7 separate regions of the Mus musculus genome follow, and all the other regions are reported to be linked to region 5. The links are microRNA targets in miRTarBase. Many come from high-throughput screens and were not tested one by one. Region 5 holds a microRNA gene; each other region holds the end of a gene's coding sequence. Distances are from middle to middle.

Region 1 (4,066 bases), 21 Mb from region 5:
TTGCCATTCTCTGCAGTTTTCTGCTGGGTCTGGGAGACAGCTGCTTCAACACCCAGCTGCTTAGCATTCTGGGTTTTCTCTACTCGGAAGACAGCGCGCCGGCCTTCGCGGTCTTTAAGTTTGTTCAGGTAACTGGGTTGTGCTGCAGTCGGTTTCCTTCCCGTTGTCCTCGGTCACTGGGGGTTTAAATGAATGCTGGGTGTCCTGTAAAGGGGGGTGAGGAGAACCAGGCACAGTGGGCTTGCTTAGGTGAGAGGCTTTAATTCTGGTCTCTGCACTTGAGTGAATACTTCCTTAGGTACCAGCCCCATCTCTCCAGAGAGTCTCAGACTTCTCATCACTTTATTGTACTATTATAGTGCCACAGCTTACTGGATTATTGCTGTCAGGCAAGTTGGGGTGCATTTGTGAGCTGGGGACCAGTGAAGTCTGTCTTCACGGGCACTGCCAGTTGCAGATGTCCTTTGGGCTGACTGTGGAGCATCTGAGGCCCCAGCATCCACTTGGTGATTTATCTTGTTTCTTCTAGTCAATCTGCGCAGCCGTGGCCTTTTTCTACAGCAACTACCTCCTCCTCCACTGGCAGCTCCTGGTCATGGTGATATTTGGGTTTTTTGGAACCATTTCTTTCTTCGCTGTGGAGTGGGACGCTGCTGCCATCGTGGCCCGAGGCTCGGACTACCGAAGCATTTGATGAGAAAACAAGTGTCTCCAAGAAACACAGCTGGTCACATGGCAGCTGGTTAAATCCGACGGCCTGTCAGTCTCATAATCGCTAAAGCGAGAACGGAGACTGTGAAATCGGGCGGGGTTGGTAGTAAAGTTTACATATCCTAGCGGCACACGCTAGCGGAGGAAGGGAATCCCGCTCTATCCGTTACAGCTGTTCTGAGATGTTCGTCCACCCCCTCCCTCAGTTCCTCACAATCAGGGCTCCTCCATCCTCATTCTCGAGGAACGATCCAGCCTGGCTCGCCATGTGTCACGAGATCCTTGCTGGCTGTGGAGTATGCCTCACTCTTTCGAAATAGGAAGCAGATGCCACTCCATGTGTGGGTCTGGGAATGACTTTCTGAAACACAGCAAGGATGCTGAGACACGTTGTTTTGAGACAGGATCTCACTGCGTAGCCCAGGCTGGTCTTGGACTTGCAGCCCTCCCCTGCCTCCAGTGTTGGGGTTATTGCCCAACACTGGATTTAAAACGCTCCAATCCTAAGAGTTAGGGTCTTGATATGCAGCCTTGGCTGGCCTGGACTTTGTATACCAGGCAATGCTCCTGCCTTTGTCTCCAGAATGCCTGGGTGGTGAGAATATGCTACCACACACCGCTGAGACTTCAACTTCTCCTAAAATGCTTTGTTGAACAAGTCTTACCTTGTCACTCCCAGCAAGGGGCTGGTTATGTGTAATGAGGTAAAGACTGTGTCATTTGTCAACTAATAAAAGCATATTTAGAGAAGGAAAGAGTATTTACTGGGAGGGGGAGGACTCATGCTGTGGTTGTCCTGACCGTTACAATAAAGAAAACTCCGGCCATCCTCTGTGGGAAAGTGCGTAAGCACTGCAGACTGTCTCCCACAAGGACTGACACTCTTACGATTGAGATATTAAATTAATTAAGCATCTAGATCAGGTCTAACATGTATGTACTGCAGCTTGGCCTCCAACTTGTGCTCTTCCAAGCCACAAACAACCTCTGGCTAAAATTCACCAACTTAGTGTGTATGTGTGGTGTGTGTGCATAAGGTTGTATAACTGCCACCATATCTAATGACAATATTTTATTTTTAAATTCTTTTTTATTTTATTTATTAGTGTATGTGTTTGCCTGTGGCTTGTCTGTATATACATTCTGCCTACAGAACTCAGAGAAGTCAGATGGAGATTGGATCCCTGCGAACTGCATTTACAGGCAGTTAAAGACCACTGATATGGGGTGCGTTCTCTGGTGTCTTAGTTACTTTCCTCTTGTGAAGAGATACCAAGGCAACTTGTTTCGAGACAGGGTTTCTCTGTGTAGCACTGGCTGTCCTTGAACTCACGAGGCTGGAGAATCTGGTTGAGTGCTGGGATTAAAGTGTCCACTATTTCTTTGTTTTGTGTCGATGTACCTTGACGGATGTATTCGCCTAGCTTTCTTGTTTTTCTTCTGTATTAAAAGTCTGGTGCCTGCTTGGAAAAATTACATTAAGATACACAGTCAAGGGCTGGCGAGATGGCTCAGTGGGTAAGAGCACCCGACTGCTCTTCCGAAGGTCCAGAGTTCAAATCCCAGCAACCACATGGTGGCTCACAACCATCCCCAACAAGATCTGACTCCCTCTTCTAGAGTGTCTGAAGACAGCTACAGTGTACTTACATATAATCAATAAATAAATCTTTAAAAAAAAAAAAAAAAAAAAAAAAAGATACACAGTCAAAAAAAAAAAAAGGTGTGCACTACCAATGCCCAGCCAAGGGAACTTGCTTAAGGGTTTATTGGCACTTAAAAGTTCCAGAGGGTAAGTCTGTGACCATCATTGTGGCAAGCATGACAGCGGGACAGGCCTGGGGCTAGAGCAGTAGCCAAGAGCTCACATTTTATCCACAAGCAGGTAGCAGAGAACTAACTGGGAATGGCTTTCTGCTTTAGAGAATTGTCTTTATGTAACTTATGTATATAGATATATGTGTGCATATATGTACACCAGAAGAGAACTTCCCATGGGTCTGCCATTACAGATGGTTGTGAGCCTCTGTGTGGATGCTAGAAATTGAACTCAGAACCTCTGGGAGAGCAGCTGCTGCTCTTAATCATGGAGCCACCCCTCCAGCCCACTTCCAGTGACACTTCTCCCAATCCTTCCCAAACAGTTCCTCCAACTGGGGGAGGGGGAGGAGCATTCAGCTGTGTGAGCCAGTGGGGACCTTTCTCATTCAAGCCAGGACAAACCCCAAGTGCTCTCAATCCTCAGCCCGCTCTGCAGCCCCAGGACTGCAGAACTGTCTTGCATTGTCTCAGCCCTCAGCCCGTCTCAGATGTGGCAGGCACTAACAACCTTCCTATGTCTGGACCTGCTGGATATTCCATAGAACAGAGCCTTCCCTTTAAACGTGACATTTATCTGTCCACAGTACAGTGAGTCCAGCTCAGAGAAACATATCTTGTTTTCCATCACTTTGGGGTTGTTGGTTTTTTGGAGTTTGTTTGGGTTTGTGTTTCTCTCTCTCTCTCTCTCTCTCTCTCTCTCTCTCTCTCTCTCTCTCCTTTCCCCTCCCCTTTACAACCTCCCCACTCCCCTTCAGAGTAGCCTAAACCAAACTGGTCTTGAACTCACAGAGATCTGCCTTCCCTCTTGAGTGCTGGAATTAAAGGCATAGCCATCACACCCAGACCTGTGACTCTGAAACATGCCATGAATCTAGAAATTGTGTAGTTGGTTGGATGATTTGGGGGTGGGGGGCAGGTGAGATTTATTCTTATTATTGATTAGGTGTGTATGCTTGTGTCAGTGTCAGAAGGCAGAGGCATGGGATCCCCTGGAGCTAGAGTGGCTGTGAGCCACCCAGTGTGGGTGCTAAGAACTGACCACACTCACATCTGGAAGAGCAGTGCACACCCTTAACCCATGAGCCTTCTCTCTAGCTCCGTGCTTCAGTTCTTGAGATAGGCTATTGTATAGCCTAGGCTCTCCTCCATCTCACTATGTAGCATAGACTGACCTCACATTCCTCCTCCTCCTGTCCACCTTCTGAATGCTGGGATTACAGACACGCACCACCATGCCTGGCATTTTTGAGTATTTGATGGTAGGGTAGGAATCCGCAAAGCCCTGCTGTCAGCCGCAGTCCTTATAGAAGTCCCCTGTGTGGAACGATGGCGTCCTCCCTGGTTGTAAGGTTTGTTTTGTAAGGCAGGGTTTCAGGTAGGCAAAACTAGCTTCAGATTTGTTATGTAGTTGAATTTGACCTTGAACCCTGGTCCACCTGCTTCTGTTTCCAAAATGCTGGATTACAGGCTTGCACCGCCATGCCAGGCTGAGGTCTGGCTGGCTTTCTTGAAGCTGAGATAACCCCAGCAGCTG
Region 2 (4,066 bases), not on the chromosome of region 5:
ACACATACACATAACTAAAAATATAATAATAAATCTTATGTACACATAACCCCACACACATAATTTTAAAAAACATTATTACTAAAGAGAAAATGATTCCTTTAAAATTCATAGAAATACACAAGCCCAAAGTTCTCCATTCCCACCTCCGGTTTATTGTTTCATACAAACATAATTACATCCAATGAAAAGAGGAAAGGATTTTCTCTACAACAAAGTAACAACCTTTTCAAGATCTTTTACACATTTAAATGCAGTACATACTAGGTTCAACCCAAATATACTGCTTTTTCTGACATAAACAAACAGCTAAAAGTATTTAAAATGAATAAATGCTACACTTTACTTTGTCATACCTTCATATCTTTACAGATTCTACTTTGCTGAATTTTTCAGAAATGTCATGCAAGCGGATGCTCTCCCAGGAATGTTTTTGTTTTGTTTTACTTTTTTATTTTGTTTTCCTTAAAACAATGTCTCCTGTATATGAGGCTGGCCTAAAACTTAGCTATATATAAGAAAGGCTGGCCCTGAACTGAATCTCTTGCCTCTATCTCCCAAGTGCTAGAATTATAGGCATGTGCACTTTGCCCAGCTCCTAGGATCAATTTGTCCACGTAATGGAAATAAATAATATAAATAACAACCACATTATAAAACACCCTCCCCACAAGCAAAACTTTCAAAGTGCTCACAAATTTTGATTTTACAACAATCTTACAAGGCACGAATAAAACTTAAAACACATTCAAAATGTTCTGAACACCCAGTATAGTACATACCACTTCCCCCAAGAACTCACTGTTTACTCCACCCATCCCTAACCCTCCCTTCCAAAAATCAATTCAGGAAGCAAAAATAAGAGAAGCACTTCAGTCACAAACTGTTTCTCTGAGGGGAATACGCTCACAACTATAACTGGCCATTCTTAAGTTATGTGCGAAAGGAAATTAGCCACTGAACCAATCCATTATAAAGTGGAACAAAATGTTTACTTTTAAAAAAGTTCTGTTTCCAAGAGAGTACTCAAATAGCAAATAGCAGTGTTTGAAAAGACATGTCTCCTCTGTTCACATGAAGAATATAAATTTGTAGAAATTTACTTAGAAATAACTCTACAAATTAGGAAGATCAAAGTTATTTTATATAAAATTAAGAAAAGTTGCGGGGCATGGTGGCACACACCTTTAATCCCAGCACTCAGGGGACAGAGGCAGGCGGATTTCTGAGTTCGAGGCCAGCCTGGTCTACAGAGTGAGTTCCAGGACAGCCAGGGCTATACAGAGAAACCCTGTCTCGAAAACAAAAAAAAAACAAAAAAAAACAAAAAAAAACAAAAAGAATGTTGAAGGACAGGTGACCTGCTTAATGTGATTAATTAGTGACTTGGTTTATGAAGTGACTTTGAGACTTATATTCTTTAAAGTCTCTCCCAGAGTTAAAAATTCAATGTAGAGCATTATTCCCACAAAAGTATCACAAAAATTATATATAATACCACATAATTTTCACAAACCTCTTATATAGTACAAAGTATTTTACATGTTAAAATATAGAAAAGAGTCAATAAAACTTAAATACTGTAGAAACTCTACACAGAGCTGAGTTATGTAGAGAAATAGGACAGTTTGAAAGTGACTTCTTGTGGTCAGAGAAGGTGATTTGCCTGGCAGTAAATTTTGCTCTTCATTGTAAGGACAAAAAAATTGAATGTACAGATATTCATACATATAATGAGACATTATAACTAATTCTAGTAGCTTTTAAAAATTAAAACTATTCACCTGATGACTGCTCGAAAAGAAAATGCATACAGAGGCAATTCAAAACAAAGACATAATCTCAGTGCTCAAGAATCAAGGCAAACTCGAGGCCAGCCCGAGCTGCACAAATCATGCCAAAAGTAAAATAAGAGATATGAAAACTTAATGACTTGATAATATACACAAATATTCACAAATATAAATCGAGCTCAATGGCACTATGTGGGGTTAAAAAATATCAAAAGGGAACATAAGATTCCAGTTTTATTATCACCTCAGATTAGAACAAATTATATTAATGAAGAACTCTTAGTAGAATTTAGAGTTAGAAAGGGTGGACTACAAAAGAGCAGCATAAGGGAATTTTGGAAGCTGGTGGAACTATTCTGTGTCCCAATTGCAGACAATTAGATATGTACTAAATTCGTAGAAATGTAATTCCACAGAGGTCAATTTTAGTGCATGTAAACCAAAACAAACACCAAAAGAAACCCTAAGTAAACAGTGTAACAATGTCTTTGATGAAAGTGGACTATTTAAGAAAAGTAACTTGCCAATCTAAGAAAATTGTCAATTTAAGAAAATACTTGCATTGGCCAGAGTTCTTAATCCAACCATGTTATATATTGTAGCCGCCTGCTGAACGAGAACTGGGTTCCCCTGAAAGGCGTGCTGGGGCTGAAAGAGACCAGAGGCAAGAAAAGAACTAGGCCAAGACAAACCTTTCTGTTCAAAGCCTCTGAAGTTTACTGAGAGTCCATGCTTATAAAGAGGGTAGGCCCATTCCCTGCCAGCCCATTCTTGGTGCCTGGAGCCAGCCAGTAGGTGATCTACAGGTCGGACGGTCTCAAAGACCTTTCAGCAGGAAGCAGTCTTGGAGAAGAGCAAATAGAGCCATCAAGGTCAGAAGGCTCTAGCCTCTCCTTCTTAGTGGCAGCAAGGTCAAAGTCTGGATCAGCCTGCTTCAAGGCTGAGGGAGGCTACAATATATATAATCAGGAAAAGGGTCTAATCACATATTCTTTTGGACATTTAAGTAATGTATTTCTAAAGACATTTTGCTGGCCCCATGTGAATTTGAATTGTGCTCCTTTAGTTTTAAGACAGTACCTTGGTGTTCTGGTTATAAATCAAGAACACTGGTTAAATTAAAAAAAAAAAAAACTGCTAGTCCTATCTGCTTTCAATATTAATAGCGATGTGCAACACTATGCTTTCAAATCTATTTTCTTGCCATCTTACTTCCTTAAAATTCTATATAGGTCAACAATAAATCACTTATCTAAAAACTACAAATCAGAATCTGCAATTACTCCTGAACAGAGGACTAATACATAATGTTTGAGACAATGTAGAATCTCATAAACTTAATCACACCACCAACTTTGGAATTATTAGAAGTTCAGAATGAATAACATGTAAGAACAAAAATAAATGATACAGATTGGGTGGGGGGCAACACTACATGTGCTGCATTTTTATAAAATGTGTCTAAAAAAGTCATTGATTTGATTACAGTAGATTCTGCCGTTTGAGATCAGGCCTAGATAATTTTTCACCACTGCTCCTGCCATGAACAGAGGTTAAGTGCTTTTTGAGAGCAGATTTGTGTTTGAAATCCATATCACAACAATGGCATTTATATGGCCGATCCCCACTGTGTATGTTCAAGTGGTCCTGAAGTGTGCTTTTAGCAGTAAAGGTCTTTAAACACACAGTACACTGAAAGGGCCTTATACCCATGTGTCCTCGAATATGCCGATTAAGATTTTTCTTCTGTGTAAATGTTTTCCCACACTGCAAGCACAAAAAGAGTTTATGCATCTTAAGGTGTCGCAGATAGTTTTCTACATGAAGAAATCCCCTTGGACACCTGGGGCACTGATGCCTCAAGGAAAAATTCTCATCCAGATTCTGGATCTCATTTACCGTACCATGACTTCCATCAGAATTCTCAGAAAATAACCCCTGATTTGTATTTCCAGGAACTTCTGTCACTCTGTTCTCAACTGTAGAATTGATCAATGAATGCTGTGTTTCAGGGAAATATATGCCTGCTTTGGATGAGGTACAAGGCTGTGAAAACTGCCCATTTTCTACATCATCTGTACTAATGGATTCTACATGGAGGATACAAATTTCATTCTCTTTAAAGCCACCATCTACTGCAGAGAGCTCCGGTGACTGCATTCTCATCCGCTCTGATGTCAGTGTCTCTGCAGCAGATTGTAATGCATTGCTTTCCTCCTCTTTGACATGGAAATCTAGGTTTACAGGACTATCTTCTGAAATTTCAATGATCT
Region 3 (4,058 bases), not on the chromosome of region 5:
GTGTGTGTGTGTGTGTGTATGATGTAATAAAAATAAAACAAACCAAGACTTGTGGTGGCACAGCACAGGTCTATAATTCCAGAAAACAGGCGTAAATGACAAGGATCTAAAGGTTCTCCCCAGGGAGTTCCTGGCCAGCCTGGGATACATGAGACCCTGCCCTCGCCCCCTCCAAAATATATTCCAATAAAAATTTAGATCATCCACAAGCTCCAGGTGGCAGTACTGTCTCCCACCCTGGGTAAGTAATTTTTGAAAAAATGGAACCAGAGACTCTGAAGGGTCAGAACTAGGCTCAAGGTAAACGGATTTTCCCACAGGCAACAACAGTGTGTCTTCTCTGGATTTCCAACAGAGGGCAGCAGAGAGCCAGGGAGCAGCTGGGAACTTTAATATCACCTGGTCCTGGCTTAATCACACCCTGGAATCTACAGACATGCCTAGGGTGCTTGCTGTGTTCACTGTGCAAGCGAGGCATGCTGGGTCACTGAAGCCACCCAAGGAAGATCAACTCAGAGACACTGTGCCCACGCAGGAGATTGGCATGGGGCTGCCACCTGCACAGATGGGGCTACCTCGGGGCCTCTGATAGAAGATCTCCAAGTACCAGAGGAAGTTGGCAAGCATTTTGAGCAGAAGGGATAGAAGTGGGAGGGTTTGGGCTCTCAACCCCACCCCTGTCCCCACCTAGTACTACCCCTAACCTGTAGCCCCAGCTACATTCCTGCACTGATAAGGGGTTCTGCCTGTGGCCTGGATCCACGCAGGTCCTCACCCTGTCCAGCCTCAACCTCTGTATGTGCGTGTGTGCATGTGGATGTCAGGGCTGGCTGCTGAGTGTCCTCTTCTGTTACCCTGCACTGCCTTGCTGTTTTGAGATGGGGGTCCCACTGAATTGGACACTTGCCTTTTCTGCTAGGCTGGTTGGCCAGCAAGCTCTCAGGATCTTCCTGTCTCTGTCACCCCCAATTTGGGTTCCAGGCATGCGCAGCTGTGCCTGCCTTTGTTCTTGGGGATTGGACCCCAGCTTCACCTGTGTCCAAAGCAAGAGCTCTTAGCCACTGAACCATTTTCTCAGGACCCTCACCTTTGTTCTTGACCAACCGAGTACCCTGGGTTTTGTCTATCTCCCAGAGGGATGGGTCACGCCCATAATCAATCCAGCACTAGGAATGCAGGAGGACTGTTGAGGCATTTATTGTCATGACGGAAAGTGGATGCAGGGAGGAATGTCTGGGAAGGAAAGCTTACTGGCTACATCCTCCAGGCCTTTAGGAACCTTGTTAAAAATGGAGATCTGTCTTGTGCCTACTTGACCACAGGTCACAGCCTTTACGAGTGGAGGGGCTTGGGCGTTCCCCTTACATGACTGATGGTCACAAATCTATGGGGGTGGGGCTGCTGCTAGTGACAGGCCTGGTGCCCTGGAGCAGGTAAACCTCCTTAGGTCCCTTCAGGCTCTCCTCGGCTTCTAGCCTTAGCTCAGCCGGGGACCATGGTACCTTTCAAGGTCCCATGCTTTATGGAGCAAGAGTGTGGGGTTAAGAGCAGGAGCAGCCCTACTGGAAGGTATGCATGCAGTAGGGATGGCTTGTGTGTGGCTGTGTACATGGAGCCCCCTCTCTGTCCTTTCTTGGTCTGTGTACATCTACCCAGTCCCTGACACAGGTGGAGTTAGGGCAGAGTTGTAAACAAGTGCTTGTGAAGAGTGGCTGGACCCTCAGGTGAGGTGGCACAGCCTCCTTATACCCCCTTCTTCTAGGGAACTCAAAGGTCAACAAGTCCTTTCTGTGGTGGCCTTGTGCCAGCGGCACAGCAGAGCTTCGGGAGAGGACAGCCTTGCACATCACCTGTCACATACAGGCCCTTACATGCACATACACAGCTCCTGACATCTGCAGACAGATCTGCACATCCAGGCACACCTGAGCCCACAATACAGTCACACCTGCATGCATGCAGACACACCTGTTTATACACAGGAAGCTCTACACACATGCAAGCACACGTGCTTACACACACACATGGACACACCTGAACATATAGGCACACCTGTATACAGCACACATACTGGGTAAACATACCTGCAAGCACACACATATGTGCACACAATTTTTTTCCTTTTTTAAAACTGAGACAGGATTTCTCTGGGTAGCCCTGGCTGTTCTGGAACTTGCTCTACAGACCAAGCTGGCCTCAAGCTCAGATCTGCCTGCCTCTGCCCAGCCAGTGCTGGGACTGAGGTGTGTGCCACCACTGCCTGACATGCACCAGTTACATGTTTTGTTTTTGAGGAGGGGAGGGGTTTGGTTGGATTTTTTTGAGGTTTTGTTTTGTTTTTTGAGCTGAGGACCAAACCCAGGGCCTTGCACTTGCTAGGCAAGAGCTGTAACCCTGAGCTAAATCCCCAATCTCCACGCCTAATTACCAATAAAAACCCTGACTCTAGTTGATGTAAAAACAAAATAGCATATCAGCTGATAGTTAGAATCAAGAGGGTAAATTTTTTAATAATTTATTTATTATATATAAGTACATTGTAGCTGTCTTCAGACACACCAGAAGAGGGCATCAGATCTCAATACAGATGGTTGTGAGCCACCATGTGGTTTCTGGGGTTTGAACTCAGGACCTCTACTTTCCAGCCCCACCCCACCCCCCACCCTGGGTAAATTTTTAAAGGGGACACAGGCATCTAAGAATGTTCTAGTTTGACCGGGCAGTGGTGGCACACGCCTTTAATCCCAGCACTTGGGAGGCAGAAGCAGGTGAATTTCTGAGTTTGAGGCCAGCCTGGTCTACAAAGTGAGTTCCAGGACAGCCAGGACTACACAGAGAAACCCTGTCTCAAAAAACAAAACAAAAACAAAACAAACAAACAAAGAATGTGCTTGTTTGTTTCTTTTGAAGCAGGGTGGTCCTAGGAATTGAACCCAGGGCCGCCCACACTAAGCGTACACGACACCACTGAGCTACAGTCTCACCCCACCACCCGAGCTCCCTTCCACATAAGGTCACTGAATCCTCATTAAGACAGAGACAAAAGGAGTGGCCAAAAAGACACCCAAAGAGCCAAACCCAAAGAGGCAAAAAGAACCTGTTATCCTCGAGGCCCATAGAGGTCAGAATCCAAGTCCTTTTAGCATCCAGAAAGAGACACAGTGAGTGGTAGATTTGTATTTGTGGTGTCATGTCTCTATAGCGATCAAAACACCAGGAGGCGCTGCCCCTGACACAAAGGCCTAAGAATTAGGGTTACTACCCAGGCCCTAGGTTGGTCTGCATTTGGCCACAGCGGTCGGTAAGAGGGATATGTGTAAGAGGAAGGTATCCTCGGGTCAGGAGTGATCATCATTTAGGGATGTAAACTAGAGAGACACCACTACCCCCCAAAGCCTAAATTCAGAAAGGCTCAACAAAAGAAAGCAAACCTCTGGCTTTGCCCAAGAGTAAAGCTGAATTTAGGAAACAGGACCAGAATGGATAGGGGCTAAGCTACTTGATAGCCACAGAACCTGGGTTGGGGAGCCCGGAATTGTGCTAAGAATATCAAAGAAGATGCGAGGATTCGGCTTCTGTCGGCATTGATCAAATGCTACCACGCATTGGAGGCCTCGGTGATCCAGGAACAAAAACAGAGTCAGATGCCACAGGTGGTACGAATGTTCACCAAGAGGCAGAGTCAGGTGGGGGGACACAGAGTGACAGCCTAGGCTCTAGGTCCCGGGTCCTGCTCGGGCTCCATACCAGGGACCCCTCGTATGTCCGGCAGCAAGCGACAGCCAGCCACGATATCCAGGCGCTCGGCGAGCGCGCAGAGGTCCCCGCGCGCCAGGCGCACGCTGTGGGCGGCTGCCAGCCCGGTGGCCTGAGCAGCCGCCAGCCTCCCCGCCAGGGCGGCCACATCGCGACCCGCACGGCGGTACACGCCGCTCACCGCAGCCGCTACGTCGTGGTCCAGGCGCGTCTGGCTCTCAGCCAACCGGAGCTGCAGCAGCGAGCGCGCAGGCGCCATGGCAGGGGTCTCCTCCGTGCCCCAAGTCTCCGCCGGATCGCGC
Region 4 (4,066 bases), not on the chromosome of region 5:
GGGCCACGTGGGATAGCGACTGTCAAGCTACGCATATATTGCACCCAAGTAAGTGCTCTTTTTACACCTCAACTTAACTTTTATTCTGAGCAAAAAATAAAACTTTGGGGAAAGTATATATATGTATATATACATACACAACAGAAATTGCAGCAATTGGGTTAAAGATAAAAGTAACCTAAAGTGCTTTTTATTTTATTATTTAAAATATCAATATGAGGTTCTGCAAATTTGTCCCTCTGGACACATTCAGCATAATACAAAGCCTCAGGCAAAACTCAGGCACCTCCATTACCCCATCAGCCCACTGCCTTGATCCGGAAAACAACCTTTTCCCATCCACTGACTCTGAAAGGGAAGGGGAGTCCCATTGCCTTCTACCTAGAGGGCTCTCCACACCCCAAGCCTCTCCTTGGCATTGTACCATCATCTTATGAACCAAAGTCAACAGAGGACAGTACTCCTGTGGCCAAACTAGTGCTGCCCAAGGGCACTGAGCTCTCTTCTCTCAGCCTTACCCTCCTGCCTGGGAAGGACCACATTTATAAGGCAATTGGGTGGGACCAAGATCACCTGACCACCTCCTAGGTCCATCAGCCCTGCTGCCAACTAGTCTCTTGGAAGAGGCTAAACTGGAGATGCTAGTGGTAACCCAAGTCTCGTCTACAGGGTGACAGTGGTGATGGCTGTCGTGGAAGGAAAGGCTTAATCGACTTGCCAGAATTCACTCTTCTTGGCCTTACCCTAAGGTCATTCCCTGGCGAAACCACTCCATGAAGGGTCTTCGTGGTTCTAGTTTAGCCAGGAGGTTCCCTCTTCTCCAAGGTCCTTAGCATTAGAGGCTGGGCTTGTGGAAAGATGGGGGAAGGACCACTGGTACAAGCATGGCCGAAGCGTCTGTCTACCCTGTTTCACACATTGGCTCTCCACAACCACCAACTGCAAGCAGAGTCCTCACTTTCCAAAACCTCTTAGGTTCTGAGAGTCTCTTGTGTTCTAAAATCACTTAGCTCCTTCACCTAGCAACACTTCAGCCTCAACACTGCTCAAATGTTTCTTCACCATGCCAACTGTGGAGGGTGAAAAGCCAATAACCTAGGAATGGACCATTAAGAGCACAGCCCTAGCAAACCAAGAAGCCATATTTAAACCATTGAAACCTTCCATACATCCTCCCTAGGCTCCTGTTTCCTATGTCAGCTCCCAGGGTGTCATAGGCAGAGTGAGTGGGAGGGCCATTACTACCCCTTGTTACAAGCTCACTTTGGGGGTCCCATTCACTGCTCTCCTCAGAGAAGAGAAACGAGTGAGGGCCCGAGTGCAAAGCTTCCTGTGAGTGCAAGTCCTAGAGACAGCTGAGGACAATCTACACCCAAGCAGCTGGTTCCCAGAAGGACTAACCACGGCGCCAACAGGGGGCTCCTCACACCGTGCAGATTCCTGCTGAGGTCTATGGTTGCCCAAATCCATCAACCTTTTTTGGGTGTGTGTGGGGTGTGGGGGTGTAGAACATCAGAAATTCATACTCCTGGTCCAATCCTGGAATGGGAGATCAGCTGCTTGTACCTGTGCCATTTCTCAATAGTGCTGCCATGACCCTCTTGGCCAATTGTCCCTAAATACCTTGCCTAAAGACAAGGGTCACCATCCTAGCTGGCTCTGAGGAAAGGTCCAGACTGCAGGAGGGCAACCTACACAGCTCTCTGGTTGTCCTGTTGGGGCACCAGACCCTGCTCTTTGCTGGAGACAGACGCCTCCTCCAGTCCCAGACCCAGCTACCTTCTGACCTTGCCAAGCACTGATGGCTACAGTAAACAGCCGAAGGACAGCCACACCCCCATTCTCCTATAGATTGTACTTATGTTTGAAGAGGCAATAACCAGGAGCCAAAGGCAAGGAGATGGGTATAATTTTATACACTAATAAAAAAAAATTCCTGTAACACAACTCAACAAAACATTCCAAATGAGGTAAACTGACTGCAAGCTTCAGGCTTTTTGGTGGAAGGGGTTTGTTTGTTTGTTTTACCCTGAGTAGAATATCATCATTTTAGGTTTTTATTCCTTTTTGTTTAGAGATCACATCTTCCTTTGCACTGTATGAGGCTGTATGCAAATCTAAGAGACATGAGACATGCAGCTGGGAGAGGATAACCAAAGCCTGGCTACAACTGGGTACCAGAATGCCTGCCGACCACCTGCTGCCTCACCATCTAACTCCTTTAGCTCTGCACTTTCTCTGGAAAAGCAGCCCTTCTGCTCTGAGGAAGCAAACATCATCGAAGGCAGGAAGACCCTGGCAGCCACTGGCCAGAAGCCTCTCATTCACTTTAGGATAAAACAGGGCGCTTCCGTAGGAGAGATGAACTTCAAGCCTCAAGCACTAACAAGCACTGAGAGATGGAAAGAGCCAAGAAGGCAAGACTGTGGCTGTGCTAGATAGCTCTAGGGTCTAGCACATTATCAACAGAGCTGTCAACAACTGCCTCGGGGCCCTGCAGAACCACATCTTCCCTCTGGCCAGGAGGCCTGCAGCTGCCCGCTAGGACTAAGCAGGACACAGGGCAGCCCCCTCTGCATCTACCCCAAGCTCCACAGAAACCAAGTGCCAACAACAAAGCAACTCACCCAGTCTAACTCACGCCTGCCCTTGCCACTCCCCGCTTTCATAGAGCGGTGGTCTGGCCCTCCAGGTACTGCCTCGGATTAAACAGACACAGAAGAGAAGCAACACCCGGCAGGCACAGTGGCCTCTCCTGCCCAATCCACAGTGACCCCAGTGCAAATGATGGGCAGTACCAAAGTGATGGAAACCACACCCTTTCATTTAGAACTTTTATGCATACACGTAACCTTAGTTTCCAAGTTCACATAACAATAAGCAAAAGTGACACACAGTGCAGCCAGACAGTTCACTTATAACTTAGCTTTTTTTTTTCTTTTTTTGTTTTTGTTTTTTGTTTTTTCCTCCAAAGATCAGTTCCTTAAAATGGATGTTCCTGGGATACGAGTAAAGAAAATACGTCTGAAAGGTGAGCTTTCAGATGGCAGATTTCTTCATCCTTCCAATTTCTGACCCCATGACGGCAGCATCACAGCCGGTACTTCCTGCTCACCCTGTTCCTGGAGGGGTGTGCGCACAGGCCCTTCCCCTGGAGAAGCTGCCGGCCAGGCTCTTTCCTCTACCCCTGCAGTAGTGCTTCACTGTGAACCGGATTGGACGGGGTGTCCAGGCTCTGGAGGGACAGGAACTCTGACACATCCATGGCACTTAACGTTTCGGAGGGTCTGAGGAGCCTCAGCCTGTCTGCTGTGCTCACAGGAAGAGGGTCCAGCGGAGGGGGGGGGGGGGGGCAGGGATGAGGGAGAAGTCTAGGGTGGCAGCTGCAGGCTGGGCCCATCAGGAGGCTGGGGGTTCGGCTCTGGAGGGGGTGGGGAAGAACATCCCTTTCTCCGGCCGGCCGCCCGCTCCTTCGCAGAGTCCCGGCACGCGCACTGACACTGACAGGCCTCCTCTTGTTTGATGATGATCACAGGAACACTGAGGCCAATCTGCTGAACAGAGCTCCCTGTGAGAGAGGCGAGAGAGACTGCTCTTCAAGTGGCCAGGAACAGGCATGAGGGGCAGGGGAGTAAGGTAAGGACGGGGGGGGGTGGGGGGGGGGGTGGGGGGGGGTGGGACCTGACTGCTGGGAGGCAGGAGTGACAGACAGGAGAGACGCCATGCTTTGGCTTTTGCTATGCTGGTCCGGGTTCTTTCTCAGGGAAAAAGCCTGTGCGGATTCTCCCATCCACGATGATGCTTCCTTCTTAGAAGACTCACCCACATCATCTAGATGCACCCTGTCCTCTGTGCCGCGTCTGCAGCCACAGCAGACGCCACCCTTCTTACTCTGAGCCCTCCCTTTTGCTTAAACTTGCTTGGGGCAGACAGTGCCCGCATCTTTCAAGGACCAATTCGCTCCCTGTTCTCTTCCTGCCCCAGGTGGTGACCCCTGACTAACCACTGGAGGCAGTACTGAGCACCAGGCGCATGCACACAGCATTGCTGCTTGCATTCCATACCC
Region 5 (4,066 bases):
TGCGTGAGCATATTATACTAACTGCCTGCTCGTGGGGGAGGCCCGGAGAGGGGTGAACCGCAGGTCACGGCGTCTAAAAATTATTAAAATGTTCGAGAACCTCGTGACGCGCCTGCTGTTTAACAAAGACTGCCAAAGTATGAGATTAATACGAAAACTTGCTCTTCAAAAACAAAAACACACCAAAAAAAAAAAAAAAAAAGTCCTTTTCCGGCCTCCGAGGGGGCATGTGGTTCCACTGCCCGCAGCCGCGGTTCGGTTTTCCGGATACACAATAGTGGACAGGAGCGAGCTCCGCTGTTGCTCAGCGGGCCACGGCCGGTCGGCTTGGAGCAGGCGGGGAGCGGCTGGGTGAGTACTCTTGCCGGCTCAGGCCCTTGCTATGCTCAACGCGCTTGGGGTGCCCGGACCCGCTAGAGACTGACCTCCGGTTGGCCCTCGGGTTCCTGTTCCTCTCTGTTTCCCTTCCAACTCGTCCATAAAAGGTGGATGATTTTTCTGTGCCGCCGGGGGTAGGCCTGTGATGGCGGAGAAGGGCTGGGCTGGGCAGCGAGGGGTCACACTAGCAACCTGTGGCTGCCAGGAGAAGGCAGCCAAGTGGCCTCTAAAGGATCCGGAGCACTAGAGATAGGGCAGAGAGCGTGCCCAAGCCCCTGGCTCTGCGTGTTTTCATTGTTATGGTTATTGTTGTTGGTATTCTAGACATAGAGAGGTGAGGCTGCGTGTAGCTGCAATGAAACCTGTCCTGGAGTTGCAGATAAATCCTGTCTTCCGCCCCTGGCGTCTACACAGGGAGGGAGTGTGGATGGGGGTTGCAGCTGCGCCTTGGTGGGAGGGCAGGTGGTGGCTCTCCTATTCGCAAAAGCGAAAATCTCAGTGCTCCGGCCCTAGGTTCAACCATACCCAGCTTTGCATCTCTCTATCCCTATTCCTCTCCCTTGGAGCTCAGGAAACCTGGGCCACATCCCTTGTTAAAGCATAGATCAGCAAAATGTAGACTAGCTGCTCTCTGAAACAGAGTTAGACCAGTATTCAAGAGCAGGACAGGAGATATGGGATAGGGGAGGGGCCTGGACATTGGAGTGGGTCGTGGTACTTCTAAATACCTTTTGAGAGGACTGTTCTTGCTTGATGCTTGGGTCAAAGCAGCACACTTTGTCTATGGGTGACTAAATTGAACCCCGTCTTTGATGAAGATCAAAACTACAATGTATTTTCTCTGACTCTCTCTCCAGTTAAGTATGAGTCTGGCCTATAGGAGGGCATTGGGGTTAGAAAACAAACCCAGAGGACAACATTGCCATGCCTAGATCTATGAGGTTTAACAATAACAGCAGCAGCAGCAACAACAACAACAACAACAACAACAAAGACTGAGGTCTCTGGACCCAGTTGCCTGCAGGTGGGAGCTCTCCTGCCCATTTGCAAGGGTTCCTGGTGTGTGCATGCGTGGGTTTGGCTTGTTTGTGTATGTTCATGAAATTGACTGTGTTGTAATTTACTCAGTAAGGGCAGAAGTATCCCCCAAGCCTAGGGTGTTATAGCGGTGGTGATAGTGAGAAAGACTCTGCTGGACACACTTGCCCTCACCTGGTCACAGCTCTCCCAGTTTAAACTCCAGATCCTCAATTTCTCATTTTTTCAGTTTAGAAAAGTCAAATGTTAGTGGGAGCTTCAGGAAGTTCACCCAAAAACTCCAGAATCCCATTTTGGCCACACAGCCAGCAACCCAAGCAGGTGGATGGGCCCAGTTAGTGAGCCTCTAGACAGAGGATCCTTGCCTGGGGATAAGGTGTGGGTAGGGGGGGTCCTCCTCACACCTCTAGGGGGGTGTCCCCTTATTCCAGCCTCCAGGAGGTATGGGGGGGATATGTGAGGTTGGGAGGGGCCTGCACATCATCTGGCTGCAACTTTTATGGTTCCTCATTGCCCTTCATTCGGAAATGAACTGCCTTTGATCTTCTTCTCAGGTTGTAAACGGAATTGCCCGTCATTAAATATGGGGGGGGGGGCCATCTGTTTGGTCTCCCAGCATTTTTCCTCACAGCTGTTTTTCTCTCTCTTTTTAGCATTCACTTTTTCCAAAAGGACTTTTATTACACCCCCTTCACACCCAGACACCTCTCCCTCCTCCCTTTGCTTTGGAAAATATCTATATATGTGTTTGATCACAAACTAAAGGCTGTGGGGGCAAGGGAGGAACCTATTTGGGGTTTTGTATTTTTTCTTAAAAAAAAAAAAGTCATGGGGGGAGGGGAGGGGCCGAGGGCACCCAGAAAGGCCTGATTCTGACTTCGAGGCAGCCTCGGGATGACCCTTCCTTCTTTTGTGCTTAGCTAATGTTTACATCTAATAATTCATGCGCCACCGAAAGTCGCGCGGCAGCCACGAGGTTCGAGTCCCTTTGCACAACAGCTGCCTTTTTAAAAAATCTTATTTTATTTTTTGAATAGAAAGTTGAAACCCCTTGTAATCCCAAGAACGGACCCACAGTGACTTTTCTGCTCCCAGATCTCAAAATTAAAACAAAACGAAATAAAAATGAAAACATTCAGATCACACCCAAAAGAAGAACGCACGGAAAGTAAGAGAACTGGAAATTTCCTGGGCCAAGAAGACCTGTCTGTCTTCTGTATATACCCTGTAGATCCGAATTTGTGTAAGGAATTTTGTGGTCACAAATTCGTATCTAGGGGAATATGTAGTTGACATAAACACTCCGCTCATATTCTTTCCCAGAAGAAAAATAGATTATTTTCTAAATGAGGACAATCCAGTGACTGCCTTCAAGAAGACTCCTTTTCTTTTCCTCCCTCAACCAATGAGGGAGAAATCTCATCTACCTGAGGTGTCCCCATGCACACCCCTGGAAGCTTGGGTCCTTGTTCACTCAAGAGATTAATGTTACTGGTGTTTTAAAATTTATCTTTAAGCCCCAACCTACCTATTCTTATTCTGGGTCCAGGGGGCTTTATTGGAAATCATGAGGAGGAAAAAAAGATTGCTGAAGGCTGCAGTGTGCAAAGGCAAAGGAAATTTGCTTTTTAAAAGGATGCGAAGATTGCTGTTTCGTTGAATTCAAGACAAGATGCCCTGAAAACATAAGGTTGCCATGGGTGTTCTTGTGCGTGTGATGTTGGTGGGGGCGTCACAGCTAGGGCTCCTTTACTTAGTATTCAAGGTTGTGAAATTTCTTTCTGCCACACTGACAGAGGCGGCGGCTTTAGCGGCAATTAGAACTCTTGGTTAGCATTGCTTCGACGAATCTGGAATTAGCAAATTACTATTCAATTGGTTTTAGGAACTTGCGGGTTTGGTTTGGTTTCATTGTATCTTCTGTCTTTAGTGGAGGGAGTCCAGCCGTTCCTCTGACCTTGGGCCTTGTGGGTTAAAGGGAGGGAGTGTTGAGGAGGACAGACTGACGGACACAGCCGATGCTCATAGTGCAGCTAAATGCGATTTGGAAGGCGAAGTCTCCCCGAATTAGTGCGTGAATTTCCTATCGATCTGCTCGCGGTTCCATTCATCTCTGACAAGTCCCTCTGCGCACCCGCCTTCTAGCTCCCGACGCCTCCTCACTCACCTCCTACCCCTCCCCATCTGGCTGCACTGAGAAGCCCCAAGCTCAGCGCCCCTATGACCTAGTGGGTACCCATTTCAAGAAGGCGCTCCCTGGTCGGCCAACCACTTAAAACCCCACACAGACACCTAGTGCGTGAGCTCCCTCTTATCCTGGGGAGGAGATGGGGCCCTATGGGAGTCAGAGAAAGGTTGGTGGAGATTAGGTAGGGCAGGGGTGGGGGCTACACCCGCAGCCCCAACTTCTGAGGGATGCAGGGTTTGTGCTCTGCCCAGCCCCCTCACCCCCAAACAGGCCCTCCAATTAACCTGCTCACTCTTTCTTAGTTCATCACCCCTCTCTGTTGTGGAGAAAGCCAGGCGAGGAGGGGGTCTCCCCGCGGGAGCCCTATGTAAATCCTGGTGTTGGGTGGGTGGGGAGGGGTAGAGAAGGGGAAATAAACCTCTTTGGCTGGAGTAGGGTCCGGGTGAGCAGATTTCCTTATCC
Region 6 (4,066 bases), not on the chromosome of region 5:
CAGGGGTCATGCTAATTATCTCTGTATCATTTCAGTTTTACATAAATATACTGTCAGAGCAAGATGGTTTTATTAAGTCCGTGCTGGTCTCAAACTGAAGGTCCTCTTAGCCTCCTGTGTGTTGTCTGTGGGGATTATAAGCACCACACCTGGCTACTTCCCACTTTCCTCCCAAGACAGGGTTGCTCTGTGTAAGCCATTGGCTGTCCTGGAACTCGCTCTGTCCATGAGGCTGACTCAGAGATCTGCCTGCCTCTGCCTCCCAAAGACTGGGATTGAAGGTATGTGCCACCAGTCCGCACTTCTTACCCTTTTATTCAGCTTAACATGCACGTTCTTAGAGTTGGATGCTCATACATGTCCATTTATTAGTAACGCTGGAGGGAGTGGCTGCTCTGTGTTCAGAGGCTGCTTCCTGAGTTTTTGCCAGCGACAGGTATCCTGGGTGGTTGGTGGCATCTCGTGTCTTTGTACTACTTGATTTTTGTATAGACAGTGTTTGTGATTTAATGTAAACTGTCTTCCTTGTTTGTAGTGATGCTAATTTTGTTTTCTTTCCCTCTTCCCTTACAGGTTGGTGACATTGTGAAAGTCACAAGGATGAATATCAATGGCCAATGGGAAGGCGAGGTGAATGGGCGCAAGGGGCTTTTCCCCTTCACACATGTTAAAATCTTTGACCCTCAGAACCCCGATGACAACGAGTGATTGCTGTGCTGTCCCTGCTGCTGCCTCCTTCTGCCTGTCAGTCTCCTTTGAAGTGGGAAGCACTCTGTCACATGCAAGTTACACCGAGCTGCTGGCGGTCAGCTTTCCATACATTGGCAGTCCCTGCACATACGGAATGCCTCAGCAGCTGCCTTGCTCGCTGGCTCGGCATTTGTATCATAGTCATGCTGTCAAAGAGTAGCTGATTTAGAGTTCTTGTGGATTGTGAACTGGAAACACTGGTGGAAGCACACAGTAGAGACTGGAACCCAGAGCAGCTCTTCCTTCCCATCCATCACTGCCTTGTTTGTACTGGAGGCTGACAGAGAGAGCAAGCAAGCCTGCTGATGGTCTGCATGGAGACGGTGAGGCTTGGCAAGGTCTCGCTTTGCTGGTCCACAGAACAGTGGTTTTGCCACCAACTCAGTTTTCTTTGGACGACAGAGGAAGTAAAACTCCAGACAATTCTGTCCCGAACTCCTCAAGTCTGGCTGGTTTTCATTTTCTTTTGTTTAGTTTTGTTTTTTGGAAGACTAATTAATTATAGTTGTGTGTTCTGAACAGATTTTTAAATAGTAGGTTGGTCTATGATGGTCTAAGGAACAATCCATGTCTCTGAGCTTCCAAACTGAAGCCACTGTACGTAACTAAAATAGGAAAAGACCCCCTCCAGGGGCCTTTATCTTTTGGTTGCCACAGTACCTTGTTTACCATGTGGCAAACAGTGCACAGCAGCAGTCATGGTGTACCTTGCTGTGAAGCACCAAGGTGGGGGTGGGCCTGCTGTCATCGCTGCCTCTGACAGGAGCAGACAGGGTGGGCCTCTTCAGTGAAAACGTTTGAAGTCTGTGGGCTTACTAGATCCGTGAGTTAAATTGCATTGCTGTGTTCCACCACAGAGGCCACCCAGCCCTTCCTGTACTGACCTAGCTTGTCCAGGCAGCTTGAGAGTGGTGTCTGTTCTGGTTCCACAGCCTGAGTAGAACCAGAATACAGTGCTTCTGAGCAAAAGAAGACGCCCCTCGATCATGAGCCATTTTTCCTTGCATGTCAGCTACTACAGATATGTGTCTGATCCCTCATCCACACATGGCAAACCAGAGCTCTAGAACCTTTCTAGAGTGCACTCTTTTCAGTTGGACCCTGATGAGGATACACCTCCACACAGAACGAACGTAGCAGACCTAGAGATGGAGTAGTGGCTAGTGAGCAGCTCTAGCATTTACAGAATATCTTCTGTAACCATGGCCCTGGTTCTGCAGGCCTGAGGCTTTGAGAACTAATGGAACATATTCAGGTGACAAAACCAACAAAACCCTTTGTCCACTATATTTATTTCTCTTAAAGACTTTAAATTTTTGTTTATGTTGGGCATGGTGGACACACCTTTAATCCCAGTACTCAGAAAGGCAAAGGCAAGTGGATCTCTGAGAGTTCAAGGCTATCCTGATCTATGTAGTGTGTCACAGGACAGGCAGGCCTACATACATACCTTGTATCAGAAGATGGCCCAATCCCCCCCTCAGACCTCCCCCCAAAAAAAACTGTATATGGGTGTTTCCACTACATGTATGTATGTGTATCACATGGGTAGTTTGTTAGGAGGCCAGAAAAGGGTGTTGGTTGGATCCTCTGGAACTGTGGAGTTACTCTGTGGGTTCTAGGAATTGAACCTGGGTCCTCTGCAAGAAGACCTTAACCACTGAGCCATTTCTTGAGCCCCATTAGTTTCTCTTTAAATCAGTAGTCCATCAGGCTAAGTTCTATAGTAAAGAATGTTCATGTGACAAAGTAATGGTCATTTGGGGTATGGGGAGTGTCACGTCTGTAGAGGTTACTTCTTTTTGTCTCTGAAAGCTGCCATTTCTAGCCAGACCTATTGAGTGGACTTAAGTGTTCAGGCCCCAGACTCTGCCTAAATCAAGATTTAAGACTTGCCTTCTGGCCAGTTACACAGTTTAGCCCCAGGCCTTTGATGTCTCCACTGGAATACACACCTTGTTCACTGAGGGCACAACCCCCAAGGGATACCCCATCACTGGGGCCTGAACCTCATGCCTTACACGTGCTAGATAACCGGCTGCCAGTAAGCTTTTGAAATCCGAGATGGGATCTCTATAAATTGCCCATGCTGGCTTCAAGATTTCCATCCCAGCCTCAGCTGAAATTATAAAGGTTTGAGTCACCACACCCAGCTCTTAAGGTCTTTTAAAACTACATTTAACTGAAGGGCTTGGTGCCTTTTGATTATAGCACCTTGCTTAGCATAAACAGCCATTTTTGAGAACAGGGTTTCCCTTTTCCCAAGACTGTTGACCAGCAAGACTCTAAGGAATACTTCATGATCAGAATGTCCCATAACCCTGGAGTTTGCTTTATGTAATCAGTTAATTTGGCACATGTAAATGTCTATGCAGCTTCCTCAGAGATCCAGATCTCAAAATAAAGACTTAACTTTCTGAACTCTCAGGATACGTGCGTGCGTGCCAACAATAGTAATTCTCTGACTTAGAAGCTCATCGATTTTTAATCATGGAAATCTCTCTCACTGATAGAAAGCAGCATCTTCCCCAAGTCCCACTCTTCTGGGAAGACCCTTGGTTTCAGGGGAGTACGATGGAGGCTTCCTTTTCTCATCATCAGTGCTGTGTGGTCTGCTCTGCCATGTTGTAGAAAGTACTGGGATGATAAACCCACTTGCTATGGCTGTTGTATCTGAGAAGGAAACAATTAGGTAGTTGAGGGCTTTAAGGGCTAGTTAGTCCTGGGTGACAGCCCCCCACCTCCACCTCCAACCCCATACAGAAGGCATGCTTGTCACTCTGCACTGCTCTGATGCCACCTGTTTCGAGGTTGACAGGGTGTCCTGGCTTTTGTCATCCAGACGTAACCCTCTGTGCTCACTGGAAGAGACTCTGCCCTCTTTTCAAGTTGCACGATCCTGGCACTGTGCCAGCCTTCCTCTACAGCTGTTTACAGACAAGATGGGCCAAGACTGATGGCCACTGCTCTTGTAACCTTTACTCAAAAGAATAATGAGCATTTAAAAAAAAAAAAAGGGATGATGTGTTTTTGTTCCAGGTGTTCATAATTTAATCTTTTAATATTATGTTCATTAACCTCTTAAAATGAGTGAATTCTTGATTGTTTTAACACAGTACCTAAGACTAATGCTTTCTGTGGACTCCTCACTCTGGAACCAGTGAACCCCTCCCTGGTTAACTGCTGTGAGCGTGGACGCTGAGCTGCTTGTATATTCTGAAGGAGCAGGAGGACAGTTCTGAGACAGGAGGACAGTGGCCTTGCTTCTAGACGGTCTTCACTGTGTGTTTTAAAATGACATAAAACTCTTTTGACG
Region 7 (4,066 bases), not on the chromosome of region 5:
GCTTGCTGATCAGTGGCCATCCCTCAAGAGATCTGCCACCAGTAGCCAGGGGGTGCATCAGTTGCCTCCTGCAAGGGCTGGGCATGTACTGTGGGCTGGAAGGTGGTGTAGCTTTTGGTAGCTCGTTACTCGACTCGGGCACAGAGGAATGATGTTGACACCTTGCTTGCTTTCTTTACCTGTAAAATGGGATGCAAAGCTATGCTCATGCAGAGGCATGGGGAACTGTGTTCTGGGTGGTAGATCTGAGCTTGTAAAAACTTGAGTTCTGCTCCCAAATGGACAGGTTAAGACAACTGAGGGTTTTTTTGTTTTTCTCTCAGGAAATTAAACAGAAACAGAAAGCACAAGATGAACTAAGTAACAGGCCCCAGAATCTTCCTTTGCCAGACGTGGTTCCTGATGGGGAGCTGCACCGTGGCCAGCATGGGATCCAGCTCCTCAATGGGCACGCACCCGCTGCTGGCCCCAACCTCGCTGGGCTCCCACAGGCCAACAGGCATCACGGACTCCTGGGCGGCGCGTTGGCGAACTTGTTTGTTATAGTTGGGTTTGCAGCCTTCGCCTACACGGTCAAGTACGTGCTGAGAAGCATAGCACAGGAGTGAGGGTCACAAGCCACAGCCTACAGTTGCTGCCGAGGGACACAGGGCCAGAGCTTGATGCCGGCGTGAAGGACGTGCTGGCACAGGGTGGCCTGCCGGACTCCCGGGCTTCACTTTTTACAAACCTTAAAGAGAAAGCAAAAACCAAAATGTGATCTGGAGGAGACTGGTGGTTCTCAACTCCCTCTTGAGGTTGACTGGACGGAGCCACTCGCGCTCTGGTTTTACTGCTTATCTCCTGTGTTGTCTTTTGACCCTGTTTAGTAAACCTGTTTTGTTGGTTTTGTTTTGTTTTGTTTTTCATTTTATTAGATTTGGTCACTTAAAATATAAAACTTTAATGCCTATCAAATACTCTGTGTGTGTTCTTAGTGGAGGAGCTGAAAGCCTCCTGGTGGGGCTAAGTGGGCCGGCTGGTCTAGGAGAGGACTGATTTGATCTCATTGTAAAATTGCTTCTGAGTGAGAGAAGACTCACACAAAGTGCCGGTTCTGCTTTCTGTTAAGGTAGAAGCAGCAGCTTGCTCTCTGACCACAAAGTGCTGCACTTAGAACCGTGGCTGAGGACTGTGGTGAAGGACTGTGGGTAGCCCAGGTACTGCTGTCAACCTTAGTACCTCTGCTTTCAGCTCCCTTGAGTGATGGAGAAGTAGGAGCCTTGGTAACCCTGGTTCCTTATGTCCAGTTGGCCAGAAGCCGGCCCTCCTATGTTGGCAGACAGTGCACTCCAAGTTCTTTCATATCTTACGGTAGGCTACACCATCCTTTCCGGGTGACCTATGTAAGATGTCGCTCTCTACAGATCATGGAGAGGGAAACTGCCCAGAACACGTCACCAGGCCACCAGTAAGCTGGCAAGCTCCCTTATGGATGTCATCTCTTTGAGATTTTGCTTAATGTACCTGCAGTAGTTGTTTGGGAAGGCTAACATCGTCTGTGTTGGGCATCAATCATCACCAGGGGCTCCTAAAAGCCTTCTAAGCCCACCTCCTTTCAGGGGCCATGGTAAAGCTGAAGTGCTCCCATGTGATGATTACCTGTAATTCAGCTCTGTGGTTTACAACTAGTATGTATATACCATGTAGTCCTCTCCTAAAACGGTCTTTAGTTACCCCTTTGCTCTGAACTCCACGATGTCTGTGTTAATGTCCCTTCCCTGGTAGGCTGTGACCAAGTGCAATGCCTGGCTTGTGAGAAGGGAATGTTGCAGCTGCCAAAAGGTAGATTGACAACCCTTGGTTGGGCCTGTGCAACCTGTGCAGCCTTCGGTGGGTGGAGCCCTACAGACATGTGCTTCCTACTATTGGTAGATGGTAATTTTTCCCTGGTCCCAGAGTGCTCCGTTGCAAATTACCTCAATTCCAAATTGGTGTTTCCTGAAGTTCTTGAAAGACAGAACATTATCGAATTTAGTCCTCTGAAATCTCAGCACCACCCCCAGCCCCCTGGCCCCAGCATGGCCTTTATGGGAGTTTAGGGATTTCAAGACAGGGTTTCTCTGTGTGTCCCCAGCTGTCCTAGAACTCACTCTATAAATCAAGCTGTCCTTCATCTCAGATCCACGTGCCTTTGCCTCCCAAGAGCTAGGATTCAAGGTGTGGGCCTCCATTGCCCAACTGAAAGCTCAACTTTGATTTTAAAAAATTTTTAAGATTTATTTATTTTATTATATGTAAGTACACTAGCTGTCTTCAGACACTTCAGAAGAGGGTGTCAGATGGTTGTGAACCACCATGTGGTTGCTGGGATTTGAACTCAGGACCTCTGGAAGAGCAGTCAGTACTCTTAACCACTGAGCCATCTCACCAGCCCTTTTTTAAAATTTTTAATTGGTTATTTTGTTTATTTACATTTCAATTGTTATCCCCCTTCCCGGTTTTCTCTCCAAAGAACCCCCATCCCATCCTCCTGCCTCCATGAGGGTGCTCCCCCACCCAGTCCTGCCCCACCACCCTACTGCCCTTCACTGGGGCATCAAGCCTTCACAGGACCAAACTCTTAACAGCTCAGAAGGAAAGAAAATTTTAGGAAGTGCTTGTTCTTAGGGTAGAAGTAAAAAGCAGCCTGCTCTCTGGCCACAAGGTGTCGCACTTAGTGTACGACTGAAGAGTGCTGTGCCGGCTTGGCAGGTTAGCCCCAACACTTCTCCCAGCTTTGAGTGCTACAGGACCCTAGAGTGTCCACTGTGTGTTCCGTGCTCTGACCCCCGAATAAAAGGTGGCCTTTTTAACCATTGGCTCAAGCATGCCTGCCTTGTTGACTTGTCTTGGGAGAGGTCACTGACTGGGGCAGTTGGCATCCAGGACTGCCCTCTATTAGCTCTTCCTTAGGAGGTGAAAACCTCTCCTAAAGCTCACATTCTGTTGTTATTCAAAGAAAGGGGTACCTTGGAAGGGAACTTTCCCACTTGGCCACTTCTGTTCTTCCCTGAGAAAAAGAGCTCTCAGATAGTCTTTGGGAGTTTTTTTCCTTAAATTTTTTATTTCAATGCATTTAATAATCAAACATTAATGGGTATTTTGAGAGTCAAATAATACATAAAAAATTTTGTTCAACTTTCATATCCTTTCATCCTAAAAATATCATTAATGAACATTTAATACTATCCATAACTGAGGATCCTATATTTAATATTGAATACTAAATTGTTTCAAAACATACAAAATATTCTTTGGGAATTAAGCATAGTATTAGAGCATAAAATATTAAAATTGAATCATTAAGAGATATATTCAAAAGCCCTTATACCACCTGGCATAGTAAGAGAGTATTAAAAATGCCTTATATATCTGTGTACATTGTCTTAACTATAAGTTTACTTAAAAAAGAATATCAGTGTTTCTAGGAGAGATTATTTTATCAGTAAGTATATTTTTAAAATTTCAAAATAGTGAAAACTCTTCGAAGTTAAACATTAAGAAAATGCTAATTTCAAGCACAGTGAGAAAAATTATCAGTAATATTTCCATTTTGTTTGTAGAACATGATTTTAATATTTTCAACAAACAATTATTTTAAGATATAGTTCATTGTTATGTGTCCCTTTTCATTTCTGATTTTATTAGTTTGGATACTGTCTTTGTGCCCTCTGGTTAGTCTGGCTAAGGGTTTATCTGTCTTGTTGATTTTCTCAAAGAACCAGCTCCTGGTTTTGTTGATTCTTTGTGCAGTTCTTTTTGTTTCTATTTGGTTGATTACAGCCCTGAGTTTGATTGTTTCCTGCCTCTTCTCCACTTGGTGTTTGCTTCTTTTTGTTCTAGAGCTTTCAGGTGTGCTGTCAAGGTGTCAAGCTCTCTCAGGAATTTTTTTTTTTTTTAAACAGGGCCTCATGTAACTCAGGCTGGACTTTAATTCTCTGTCTGCCTCCTAGGTGCTATTATTTTAGGCCGGAGTAGCCTTTGCATCTATAGTGAGCCACCGGTTCCTGTTTTCTCCAGGGCTTGGATGAGAGCCAATAGCAGA

The links. The annotated mature microRNA mmu-miR-10a-5p reads UACCCUGUAGAUCCGAAUUUGUG and lies in region 5 at 2,638-2,660, shown strand. An mRNA with a match to its seed (bases 2 to 7 or 8) in the 3' UTR can be bound and repressed. Matches are read on the target gene's strand: a 7mer-m8 pairs with bases 2 to 8, a 7mer-A1 pairs with bases 2 to 7 and ends in A, and an 8mer does both.
Region 1: miRTarBase lists Mfsd11 as a target of mmu-miR-10a-5p. Seed matches in the 3' UTR shown: 7mer-m8 at 2,004-2,010.
Region 2: the mRNA of Zbtb6 is a reported target of mmu-miR-10a-5p. Seed matches in the 3' UTR shown: 7mer-m8 at 1,289-1,295.
Region 3: the mRNA of Bloc1s3 is a reported target of mmu-miR-10a-5p. Seed matches in the 3' UTR shown: 7mer-m8 at 2,840-2,846.
Region 4: the mRNA of Mtf1 is a reported target of mmu-miR-10a-5p. Seed matches in the 3' UTR shown: 7mer-m8 at 3,114-3,120, 7mer-A1 at 2,026-2,032 and 8mer at 903-910.
Region 6: the mRNA of Crkl is a reported target of mmu-miR-10a-5p. Seed matches in the 3' UTR shown: 7mer-m8 at 1,520-1,526, 7mer-m8 at 2,995-3,001 and 7mer-m8 at 3,565-3,571.
Region 7: the mRNA of Ube2j2 is a reported target of mmu-miR-10a-5p. Seed matches in the 3' UTR shown: 7mer-m8 at 688-694 and 7mer-m8 at 2,092-2,098.

What each region holds. Positions count from the first base shown.
Region 1 is chr11:116,873,252-116,877,317 of GRCm38, forward strand. Mfsd11 (major facilitator superfamily domain containing 11) reads left to right here. Exons shown (of 13, transcript NM_178620.4): 12 at 1-128; 13 at 530-2,409. The coding sequence ends at 694. Among named protein-coding and RNA genes, the nearest start is that of Mfsd11, 21 kb to the left of the region's middle.
Region 2 is chr2:37,425,368-37,429,433 of GRCm38, forward strand. Zbtb6 (zinc finger and BTB domain containing 6) reads right to left here. Exons shown (of 2, transcript NM_146253.5): 2 at 133-4,066. The coding sequence ends at 3,276. Among named protein-coding and RNA genes, the nearest start is that of Zbtb6, 3.5 kb to the right of the region's middle.
Region 3 is chr7:19,503,305-19,507,362 of GRCm38, forward strand. Bloc1s3 (biogenesis of lysosomal organelles complex-1, subunit 3) reads right to left here. Exons shown (of 2, transcript NM_177692.4): 2 at 2,500-4,058. The coding sequence ends at 3,710. Among named protein-coding and RNA genes, the nearest start is that of Bloc1s3, 3.0 kb to the right of the region's middle.
Region 4 is chr4:124,843,649-124,847,714 of GRCm38, reverse strand. It overlaps Mtf1 (metal response element binding transcription factor 1), which reads right to left. Exons shown (of 11, transcript NM_008636.4): 11 at 1-3,568. The coding sequence ends at 3,372. Among named protein-coding and RNA genes, the nearest start is that of 1110065P20Rik, 4.9 kb to the left of the region's middle.
Region 5 is chr11:96,314,549-96,318,614 of GRCm38, forward strand. It overlaps Mir10a (microRNA 10a), which reads left to right and starts at 2,617; the gene lies at 2,617-2,726. Hoxb4 (homeobox B4) reads left to right here and starts at 3,719. Exons shown (of 2, transcript NM_010459.7): 1 at 3,719-4,066. It also overlaps a transcript of Hoxb3 not described here.
Region 6 is chr16:17,483,088-17,487,153 of GRCm38, forward strand. Crkl (v-crk avian sarcoma virus CT10 oncogene homolog-like) reads left to right here. Exons shown (of 3, transcript NM_007764.5): 3 at 574-4,066. The coding sequence ends at 708. Among named protein-coding and RNA genes, the nearest start is that of Aifm3, 6.8 kb to the right of the region's middle.
Region 7 is chr4:155,956,758-155,960,823 of GRCm38, forward strand. Ube2j2 (ubiquitin-conjugating enzyme E2J 2) reads left to right here. Exons shown (of 8, transcript NM_021402.6): 8 at 324-2,847. The coding sequence ends at 608. Among named protein-coding and RNA genes, the nearest start is that of C1qtnf12, 3.5 kb to the right of the region's middle.